3 linked regions of the Saccharomyces cerevisiae S288C genome follow. The protein of the gene in region 3 interacts with the protein of the main gene of each other region in a biochemical or structural test. Each region holds a gene or a part of one and is shown on either strand. Other genes may lie near its edges.

Region 1 (3,757 bases), on a different chromosome or scaffold from region 3:
GGTATTGATAACCTGCGTGACCGTCTGGTGGAATCCTGCCATTTTACCCAATAATCGTCTAAGATGTGAGCACCATATAAAAACTTTAAATAATGTCAGTATTTATAGCGTGATAGTTCATTACCCGCCGACTGTGCGCATTCGTGGCTTCTGCTCACTCCGGATAATAATACTACCAAGGGGTTCTGTAAGGCTTGCGGGTTACAAAGCACGGGTCCATTGAAGATCTTACACAAGAAGGAGTGGTAGGAAGACCAGCAGATTATTTCCAATCGGTCGTTGCCATTGTCTTATTTCCTTTTCTTTCTGGCGCATTGCATTTTAACACCTTTTTTTCCAGAATAGCCAACCACCGACGTCTGATTCACACATTACTGGGCAAGATCTTGACATAGCATTACATTACAACACGGCAACACTAATCACGCAACGCTAGAACTCGCGCAGGATGAATATTCAAAGCAATAATTCTCCGAATCTCAGTAATAACATAGTGTCAAAACAGGTTTACTACGCCCATCCTCCACCTACGATAGACCCGAATGATCCGGTGCAGATATCTTTCCCTACCACCGAAGTAGTTGGGCATGGTTCGTTTGGTGTGGTATTTGCCACTGTTATTCAAGAAACTAATGAAAAAGTTGCTATTAAGAAAGTCCTGCAAGATAAACGATTCAAGAACAGAGAGCTGGAAATAATGAAAATGCTGAGTCACATAAATATAATAGATCTGAAGTACTTTTTCTATGAAAGGGACTCCCAAGATGAGATTTATTTAAATTTGATACTAGAATACATGCCACAATCTTTGTACCAGAGGTTACGTCATTTCGTCCATCAACGTACGCCGATGTCAAGATTGGAAATAAAGTACTACATGTTTCAATTGTTCAAGTCATTGAATTACCTCCATCATTTCGCGAACGTCTGTCATAGAGACATTAAGCCTCAAAATTTATTAGTAGATCCTGAGACCTGGTCCTTAAAACTGTGCGATTTCGGCAGTGCAAAGCAATTGAAACCTACTGAACCTAACGTTTCCTATATTTGTTCACGGTACTATAGAGCACCAGAGCTAATCTTCGGCGCAACAAATTATACCAACCAAATCGACATATGGTCCTCTGGCTGCGTAATGGCGGAACTGCTATTGGGCCAACCAATGTTCCCTGGAGAAAGTGGTATTGATCAACTAGTGGAAATCATTAAAATCTTAGGTACTCCATCAAAGCAAGAAATTTGCTCTATGAATCCCAATTATATGGAGCATAAGTTCCCGCAAATTAAACCAATACCATTGTCACGTGTTTTCAAGAAAGAAGATGATCAAACTGTGGAATTTCTAGCTGACGTTTTGAAATATGATCCACTAGAAAGATTTAATGCTCTACAATGCCTGTGTAGTCCATATTTTGATGAACTAAAACTTGATGACGGTAAAATAAATCAAATAACAACTGATTTAAAATTGCTAGAGTTCGATGAAAATGTCGAATTGGGCCATCTATCTCCCGATGAACTATCATCTGTAAAAAAAAAGCTATATCCGAAGTCTAAGTAATGATAGCACCGGAGGGAGCCCAGGCAAGAATAATGGGAGAAGGAAGGAACATATATACGTATGTCTTTTTTTAGTACTATTATTACTGTTATTATTATGAGTATTGTTTTTGTATTACCATCATATTCTTATCATTATTAGTAGTAACAGTATTATGTTATCATTACTGTTATAATGAATACAAATTATGAAAAAAATAAGGTAAAGCCAAAATAAATTGTAACTTTTTTATGCCATTTCACTTCGAATTATGTATAAAAGCCGTATTCTTTGCCAGTACGAAACTATTTTAATGACACCTTTACTTTAACCGGGTAACAACTTCCTTAAATGGGTCGACAAGGTTTTTAGAGTATAAAGGGGCAAGTGAAGGTTCATCATCGAGCTGATGTAGTGGGTGTTTTAGTAAACGAAGAAGCACCTTAGAACCAAATAATCTAGCTAGTATAAACCGAACCCAGAGTAGCAAACAAACCATGGGTAATGTTCCAGGGAAAATAGACCAGGAAGATAGTTTTAATGATGTCAGGCCAGATTCCTCATATAATACTACATCATCGAATTCTGTCATCAAACAATATGATGAAGAAGCCTCTTCAAGGGTGAGAACGAGACGCACGACGTCTTTGGTCAATAATATTTTAAATGGGAATAATGCTCGTACAAAAACTGGTTCTCATCTATCCAGCACTAGTAGAAGAAAGACGTCACGGGAAAAAGAGCTTGCTAAAGAGGCACATGCTAAACAATTGGTTGTGAGGTGTAGCGAAACTGTAGATGGGGGGTTTTTGGCCCCATTTGGCTGTTATTCTTTTGAAAAGTTGGACTATGATGCTACTGTCGTTAAAAATTTAATAATCAAAAGAAAGTTAGCGCCGTTTTACACTCCTTTGCAGGATTTTGATGAAAGTTGGACTAGAGATGAGTTGATAAAAATTGTTGACGGATTGCCCTTGCATGACACGTTCGATGAAAATTTGGAAGAATTCGAAGACGTACCGATAGGCAATTTAAGGAAGTCAACATTTAATGAATTAATAGACAAATCTTTATCCAAGAAGGAACAGAGAAGAATGCACGCAAAGATTTTTAGAGCAAGATTGTATAAGAAAAGAATTTTATGGCAAGAAAATGAAAATGAGACGTTTTTGGAGAGGAAATTGGAAATGAAAAGAATTGGCAGCAAGTCCAGCAATGTTGAAGATAATACCAGTAGCCAGCCAAGGAAAAATTACCATTTACCAAGTGACGATTTGAAGTATACTCTTTACAAAAATGGGTCGGAATGCCCTATTTGTTTTTTATACTTTCCAGGGCCTTTCAACTATTCCAAATGTTGTCAACAGCCTATTTGTACCGAGTGTTTTGTACAGATTAAGAGAGCTGATCCTCACTTCCCTCATGACGAAGTAGACCCAACTGAACCACAAACTAATGACAGTGAAAAGGACCCAAATCTTCTTACCTCTGAGCCAGCAAATTGCCCCTACTGTGCAACTGCTAGTTTTAGCATCACTTATCAACCACCCACAAATCGTGAAACTGGTATAGGGGGTATGCCAGCCGACTCATACGTGTATAAGGACGCCGCCATATCAAGAGCTGATGGCGGTCAGCCAAACATATCAGCCATTACTTCGGATACCATTCGTCCTGATTGGGAGATTAAATTGAACAAAGAAAGGGCAAGGTTGATGAGGAGATCCGCGAATGCCACCGCTATACATATAAGTAATAGGTTGATCGATCCAAGCCATAGCAGAAGGAGAAATACAAGTCACAGTATAACCCCTATTCATGATGAAAGTACGTCAGCTTCAAGATCTCCTGAACCGACAATAAACGAACTTGAAGATCAAATGGTTAGAGAGGCTATTAGGTTAAGCCTTGAAGATCAGGACAACCGAAAAAAATCAAAGAATAGAAACACCTCTTTGAGACCATAGCATCACAGTTTGACATTTTTTACAATATTAAAAAAATCCTTTTTCAAACGTTCCAGAAGTGCACTATTTTTCTTTTGTTCCATCTATATCTAACGGAGCGTCACCAACCTGACCTTCCTTTTGGCTTTAAACAAAATGATCCGGAAATATCGTCACATTTATTGTGAAGAGAGAGAAGTTTTACAGTTAATTGTATTGCAAGCTCTTCCCGCTCTAGAAAGTTTTTGTTTTGTTCGTCCTCAAGAATTGA
Region 2 (3,757 bases), on a different chromosome or scaffold from region 3:
GCGGCGAGATTTACAGACTGAACATTCTTGTACAAGTTACAATGATGATAGAGGAAAAATAAGCTATGATAAATAGTTCATAGTAATGCAGGTGGGGATGATGCAAGCGGGCCTATTTATTTTGAAATAGTACTGAATGGTTTGGAAAAGGTGGAATTTTCAATCTGCAACGATATCGCGCTCAACATCTTTAACCTGTCATCATCGTACGTATTTGGGACTTCAATTGAAGGCAATGTAATGATAGTGCTATCTGCCGATGTGCTTGACCTCGTCACTCGAGGCTCTTCTTTACCGGGAGTGCTTGCATCTTTCGTTGAAGAATGTGCACTCAAGACCTCAGATGTGGAGTGTGGCCTCATTGGATTGGACTGTTTATTACTACAAACCAAGGGATATTGATGGAGTGTCATGTGATAGATAATTTCGTTGATTGGTGCCAAAGATGCATCAAACCCATAATCTTTGACAAGAGATCCCAGTATGAGATTCAGCACTCTCACCTGAATTTTTTCTTGTGATAGGTCAGCGAATAGTTGACGTGTAGCGGGCATAAATAGCCTTTGCGATAGAATAGTCAAAAATTCGATTGATGACAGCCGTTCAGTAAGATATTGCTTAGTAGAAGACGGTAAATGTGAAAAGCTGTTTTCTACCACAAGGGAAATGGAAGCCATTAGTGAATTTTTGCCCAGCGTTTCTAGATTAGCAAAAGAATCCAAATTTCTTTCATCCTTAGACATCTCCAAGCACGTCCTTGAGTTATGTATCTTTGACAGGATGAGTTTTCTCAAGTTGTTGGATATTACAACTTTGCTTTGGCACCCTTTTTTTTTCGTTAAATTTGGTCTAATGAACTTATCTCTTTGAATTTGTTCAGGTAGTGGAATAGCATTATTTACAATTTCAACAATTATTGATTTGGCAATAAAGTCGTATTCTTGTTCACTTTCTAGAGGCTGATCTTCTATATCAAACTTTTGTAATTTTTCATCGCCGCCGTGCGCATACGGTGCCGATGGATCACGAAGAAGAGATGCGTTCTTCTTAAGTAAAGAGCGAACTTGAGTTGGTACAGGTGGAAGAGTGCGGCCATTCGGATAAGGTAACAATTTTTGTGATGTTATAGTATTAAGAGAAGGAAGAGCGTGCTCAGCAGGTTCTTCCTTCACGCTGGCTTCTTCGTCAGAGCTTGATGCATTGGAAGCTGAACAAGACCCCATATTACTTGAGCTGGGGGGAGACAAAGGAATTTTTTGAACTTTACCACGGGCTATTTTCTTCTTAGAGTCTAATAATTTTTTCTTGGAACGTTTCCTGTTTCTTCTCACCGATTGAACAGCAGCGGTAACCAACTTTTCAAATTCTGCCGAAAACGTATCAGGGTACTCAAATTCACTCCTTAATATGGTGGCTATTTGTCTTATATTATCATCTTGTTCACTTGCTTTGTGCTGGCTCAAGCCAAATGAGTCAATGAGTTCTAGTCTTCTGCTAGAAAACTTCTTCCATTTCTTTTCATCATTAAAGTTTAACTGAGCTCTGATTTTATGTGTAGTACCATAGCCCGTATACTTTCCTGTTTTATGGCTACCTTCCAAATGAATTTTGGAGTTCTCAGTATCGTCAATCATCTTGCAATTTTTACTCTGACTGTTGCTGTTTTTTTTGCTGAGATATTTTCCGGTTAAGATGTTTGAATATGCTAAAGGTAATATACAGCTAGAGAAATATGAAAAGCAAGAATATAAAAATAGAACAGGAGCACTTAGTTCGGTTTTTTGCCATCATGTTTAATATATATATATATATATATATATATATATATATATGTGCGTGCGTGTGTGTGTGTGTGTGTGTGTACATGTATGCGGCAGCTAAAAGATGACGAGTACCTTCTAACGGCCATGTTATTTTCTACAGAAAGCATCTCACTTTGAGCGCCCAGAAAAAAGAAAAGGGAGAACAAAGTGATTAATTTTGCCTCTCGATTACATTATGAGGTGGCACTATTTGTCACATTTTATGTTTTTCATCCCGCACTTGGCTTTCATGAGAAAAGCATGTAGGACGCTTGAGTTTGGCATGCGAGAGAAGAGGCGTGTCAGAAAAAAAAACGCCTTTTGCTCTTGAGAAGAGCGGCAAAAATTGCCGAACAGGTGGAATTTCTCGACCAAAGGTGGGGTAAATATCGGTTACCCGTTTGCGAGTTCCTTTACAGTCTCAATGATTTCCAAGATGACTAAGGGAATATTTTCCATGGTGCCTTTTGCCTCGCGTACACTCACGGCACTAATGGGCGATACGATACTATGATTGTGTTCGGGATTAGTTCGATTCAATCATTCGCGCACGAGGCATGGACAGAAATGGCACTGATTTTAGTCACCGAGTCAACAAAAATGAGGCGACTCGATCAAAGATGTTTATTGACTCGTTTTTGCAACTAGAGAAAGGCATTCTTGCACGGAGAGAATGTTGACTTTAGTTGGAGTACCATTAGAGAGATGCCATTAGAGAACATTGTACTGCAGTAACGATGAGTTTAAGTTTTTAAGTACGCATGTTTATATATGAAAAAAATATACATTGAGATTACGAATATATATACTTGTCAGGAAATGCCGGCAGTTCTAATGGTTAATCCTTGTCCTATTTCTTTACGCCATTTTCTTTGAATTGATCTTCTGTGACACCGGTTCCCATAGCAGCTGTTGCGCTAACACCACCTTGAGCTAACTTCAATAACCCATCGATGTACTCCGCACCAGACCATTTTTGATGTTTCAACACATCAACACCATCGTCCATTTCCCTCTGCTGAACATTCTGGGCATAAGCTTTCATCCCATCCTTGGCAAAGTCACGAGAGAAGTTATGGACAGCTAAAGCGTTAGTGTGTAAACCGGCCAATGTGATAAATTGCCAGATGTAACCTAGATCACCCAGCCTTTGGATGAAGGTGTGTTGTTCATCAACGGACATGGCTTTTGGCCAGTTAAAGGATGGAGACAAGTTGTAAGCTAGCCATTGGTCAGGGAATTTCTCTTTAACACCTTCTGCAAACTCCTTGGCCTGTTGGAAGTCTGGGTAGTTAGATTCCATCCATACCAAATCAGCATATGGAGCAAATGCACGGGCCCTCATGATAGAACATTGCGTCCCACCTCTGTAACGGTACAACCCTTCCCTTACGCGTGGTAGCTCCCAGTCGAAGAAAATTTCGTGGCCAAGAATTTCTTTAGCGAGCTTCTTGGCTTCTCTGTGGGATGTTTCAGTCAATGGACCCACTTTAGAGGTGAATTTCTTAATCAATTCTTGCTTATTTGACAGGGCTGATCTTTCAATTTCATCAATGACGGCTTCATGGAATAACTTGAGTCCAGCGTCTCTACACCATTTTTGTTCAATGTCAGCTAGTTCTTGTCCTGATGCACCACTCATGATGGCATCATTTAAAACTTCGGCAAATGGCTCGATATTTGGATTGGTGGCACCGACAATGAAATAATGATCTCTGGTATCGATGGTTGAGCTAATCAAAGTGGCTGCTTCTGAATCAGTCCTAGCAACGACAATTAAGTCAGAATGCATGATATCAGCACACATTCTAATAGTCACCAATCTGTTAACATGTTCCTGAACGGGTATAACACATCTTCCTGCCATATGCCCACATTTCTTATTTGTAGATGTCTGGTCTTCCATGTGGATCCCAGCAGCACCACGCTCAATGAACATCTTGGTCAATTTGAAG
Region 3 (3,757 bases):
CGTACCCAACGCAATCATCAGAACATGTCTAGGCTGAATGGTTTTCTTCAGCGAGTCCGACTTATGACCTGTATTAGCGCCTATGTTGTCCGAACTTTCATTTTTTTCTAGTTCTTGAGCCTGTCTAGAAGAAGGTGAGATAGCCGACGTAAGATCGTTCATTTGTGTTGCTTCTACTTCATCCTGTGGACCCTGATCCGCTCTTTTAAAGGAGTCGAAAAACCTACGCACGGCAGAAGTGTTATGCTGTTCGTAACCTAAATGAGGTTGTGAGGATGGACGGTCATTGGAGCCTGTTTCGAAATATTCAATTTCATTATCCTGCCCCGTGGCATGTATTTCTGTGGAGCTATTTTTCAAGTCTTTCAGTTCGTATAGAGACTTCGACGACGACATTGTGCGAAGCTATCTTTGTCTATATTAGCGTGCTTCTTCTATAAAGATTACATAATAAACTTGTTCTACATTGTTGTGGGCAGACCATCAAAGACAAAGCACTTATATATGTATGTAAAACAAATGAGTATTACGAGGAAAATAACAAAAAGAAACTAATCACGAAGGATATGAGTCTTGTTAGCGGACGAGGGGAAGATAGCGCAAGACACACGTATAGCCGACCTATCCTATGCATCTTAGCCGTCTTATCAGGATTGATTTGCGGTTCAGTGAAAGAGATAACCACTGCCAAGCTGGAAGAAATGGCTAGAAGGCACTAAAAAAAGAGCCTCGCAGCGCAACTTAAGAACTGTGGACTACTAAGGAGCAGCAATCCGCTGGACGTGGGGGAGTTGAAAGTTGGCCGGATACTGCAACCTGCTTATCTATGACTCGATGAGACCGTTATTTAGTGCGATGGTGCCACTGGGAGTGCCATCAACGGCAAAGTTGCAGCTTTTTGCAGCAGATCAGTGCCGCTTAGACGGCACCCTCAAGCGGCACTGAAGAACGGCGCGCTTTTTTTTTTCTTCTATTATGCCGGTCAAGGAAAAAAAGAAACCAAAAAAAAATGCCGTGGGAGGCACGGATGCAAGATTTCTCCAAAGTCCCTTTTTAGCCGCCGAGGAAATGAGGAAATAAGGGGTTAGCCGCCGAGTGAAGCCGCCGAGGTATAAAAGGGAGAATGCACACCTTCGTAAGAAGATTCTATTTGAAAGAGTGCTAGGTAAAGTCATCAAAAGGCTTATTGATATAATAATTGCTTTGCAAAATGGAAAACAAATGACTTTGAAAATGGGAGAAAACAAAAATTATATAGGTAATGTTGAGTTCTTGATTTTTTTTTTGTTTCTGTCCTTGCCACAGCTCTTTTCATGGAACATTGGGCTCTAGGATAATTTTTTTATGTTTTCTGTTATGTTTGCCATGGTAGGTTGAGGTAAAGGCGCTCTTTCAGCAATGACGATTTATGCTAATATGTTTTCCTTAAAAGGAAAACATCTCGTTCTTTTTTTCGCGTGCTGTGCAAGAAAACGCGTAACGCAGTCTTAGTAAAAGGGCTCTCTTGAAAACTACATGAAAACTAAAAAAGAAGATGTAAATTTGGATACAACAGCGTAGAATAGCATAATAGAGTGTGCAATAAACGTGTATAGGCTTGATAATAGTGCTGACGTAAATTACCAGAACTACTGCAGTATGACTGTGGCGAATACCGAGACCCATTCTGCTGCTAAACCATCGAGTACTATAGGCCCATGGAAGCTTGGTGAAACACTGGGCTTTGGTAGCACCGGCAAGGTCCAACTTGCGCAACATGAGCGCACGGGCCATAGAACAGCCGTCAAAGTAATCTCAAAGTCCATTTTCAACAACAACGGAAACCACAGTAACGACGATTCAGTGCTGCCATACAACATCGAGCGTGAGATTGTTATTATGAAACTTTTGAGCCACCCAAACGTTCTGAGTCTTTACGACGTTTGGGAAACCAACAATAACCTGTACCTTATCCTGGAATACGCCGAAAAGGGAGAACTGTTCAACTTGCTTGTGGACCACGGTCCCTTGCCCGAGCGTGAGGCCATCAATTGCTTCAGACAGATAATTATAGGCATTTCATACTGCCATGCGCTAGGAATAGTACATCGGGATTTAAAGCCAGAAAATCTTTTGCTCGATAGTTTCTATAATATCAAAATTGCGGATTTTGGTATGGCAGCTTTACAGACAGACGCCGACCTGCTAGAAACTTCTTGTGGGTCTCCTCATTATGCCGCTCCTGAGATCGTATCAGGTCTGCCCTATGAAGGATTTGCCAGCGACGTTTGGTCTTGCGGTGTAATCCTCTTTGCCCTTTTAACGGGTAGACTACCCTTCGATGAAGAAAACGGTAATGTTAGGGATTTGTTATTGAAAGTCCAAAAGGGCCAGTTTGAAATGCCCAATGACACCGAAATTTCCAGAGATGCACAAGATTTAATCGGCAAGATTCTCGTTGTAGATCCCAGGCAAAGAATAAAAATCAGAGACATCCTTAGTCATCCACTGCTAAAAAAATATCAAACCATTAAGGATTCCAAAAGTATCAAAGATTTACCTCGTGAAAATACCTATCTATATCCACTGGCTGACTCGAACAACCATACTAGCGCCTCTATCGATGATTCAATCCTACAAAACTTGGTGGTACTTTGGCATGGTAGACACGCCGATGACATCGTATCTAAACTGAAAGAGAATGGAACCAACAAAGAAAAAATTCTATATGCGCTACTATACCGTTTCAAACTGGACTCTGTAAGGGGATCGAATAAGAAGAACCGCAATAAGATAAAGAAAACCAAAAAAAATAAAAGATCTAGCACACTTTCGTCATCGTCATCATTATTATTGAACAACCGAAGCATACAATCTACGCCACGCAGACGTACATCCAAGAGGCATTCCAGGGAATTCTCTTCTAGCAGGAAGAGATCGTCCTTTTTACTGTCCTCGAATCCTACCGATAGTTCTCCAATACCTTTGAGAAGTAGTAAAAGAATTACACATATTAACGTAGCGTCTGCAAATACCCAAGCAACGCCAAGTGGTGTCCCGAATCCTCACAAGAGGAACTCAAAAAAACGGTCAAGCAAAAGATTATCTTATATGCCTAATACAAAAAGAAGCTCACTAACATCAAAATCATTATCAAACTTTACTAACCTAATAGATGATGATGATTGGGAGTACATTGAAAAGGATGCAAAGAGAACAAGTTCCAACTTCGCTACACTGATTGATGAAATATTTGAGCCTGAGAAATTTGAATTGGCGAAAAGAGAAAAGGCTGAACTTCAAAGAAAAGTTCAGGAAGCAAAAAGGCAATCAGTGAATGCACAGAAGATTAATGAGGACGAGTTTGGATCCGAAGTTTCTGATGGAATGAAAGAGCTGAAAAAAATAAATGACAAAGTGTCGTCCCCGTTGATAAATTACGAATTTTCGCAACAAGAACTATTGCAAGATATAGACACCTTACTAACGAATCGTTATCAACTTTCGTCATATACTAGGCCTATTTCGAGACTGGATCCCGGATTAACGCCTGTTACTGAGACACTTCCTAACAACCTAAAAGAAAAAACAGCTCTGCTGCAGGATACTGAAAAGAAAATAATAGAAACGATACGCAGATCCAAATTTTTAGGATCGCTACTAAATGTTAGAGGGGGACTATCGCCAGGGAAAAGTGAACTGGCACCTATCGAAGAGTCTCCCATAGTTTCAACCACACCACTAATATATAATGATCGAATGGAACCTCGTAGGATAT

The links.
Region 1: the proteins of KCC4 (region 3) and SIP5 form a complex in vitro, tested with the Saccharomyces cerevisiae proteins (one large-scale study listed by BioGRID).
Region 2: of the proteins of KCC4 (region 3) and VHR2, one has a biochemical effect on the other in vitro, tested with the Saccharomyces cerevisiae proteins (one large-scale study listed by BioGRID).

The regions. Positions count from the first base shown.
Region 1 is NC_001145.3:545,677-549,433, forward strand, and holds SIP5 (Sip5p), read left to right. Parts: upstream 1-2,037; coding exon 2,038-3,507; downstream 3,508-3,757. Other genes in the region: Arf family GTPase CIN4, read left to right, coding at 1-54; serine/threonine protein kinase RIM11, read left to right, coding at 449-1,561. UniProt on the Saccharomyces cerevisiae protein: May negatively regulate the SNF1 kinase by promoting the interaction of the REG1/GLC7 phosphatase complex with the kinase. Deletion of SIP5 promotes resistance to artemisinin, which is probably an indirect effect of an action on the electron transport chain.
Region 2 is NC_001137.3:282,589-286,345, forward strand, and holds VHR2 (Vhr2p), read right to left. Parts: upstream 1,635-3,757; coding exon 117-1,634; downstream 1-116. Other genes in the region: ICL1 (isocitrate lyase 1), read right to left, coding at 2,653-3,757. UniProt on the Saccharomyces cerevisiae protein: Transcription factor that regulates ERG9, but seems to have a more global function in transcription.
Region 3 is NC_001135.5:77,524-81,280, forward strand, and holds the start of KCC4 (serine/threonine protein kinase), read left to right. Parts: upstream 1-1,638; coding exon 1,639-3,757. Other genes in the region: amino acid transporter AGP1, read right to left, coding at 1-396. UniProt on the Saccharomyces cerevisiae protein: Involved in regulation of bud growth during cell cycle and in septin organization. Plays a role in cell wall synthesis.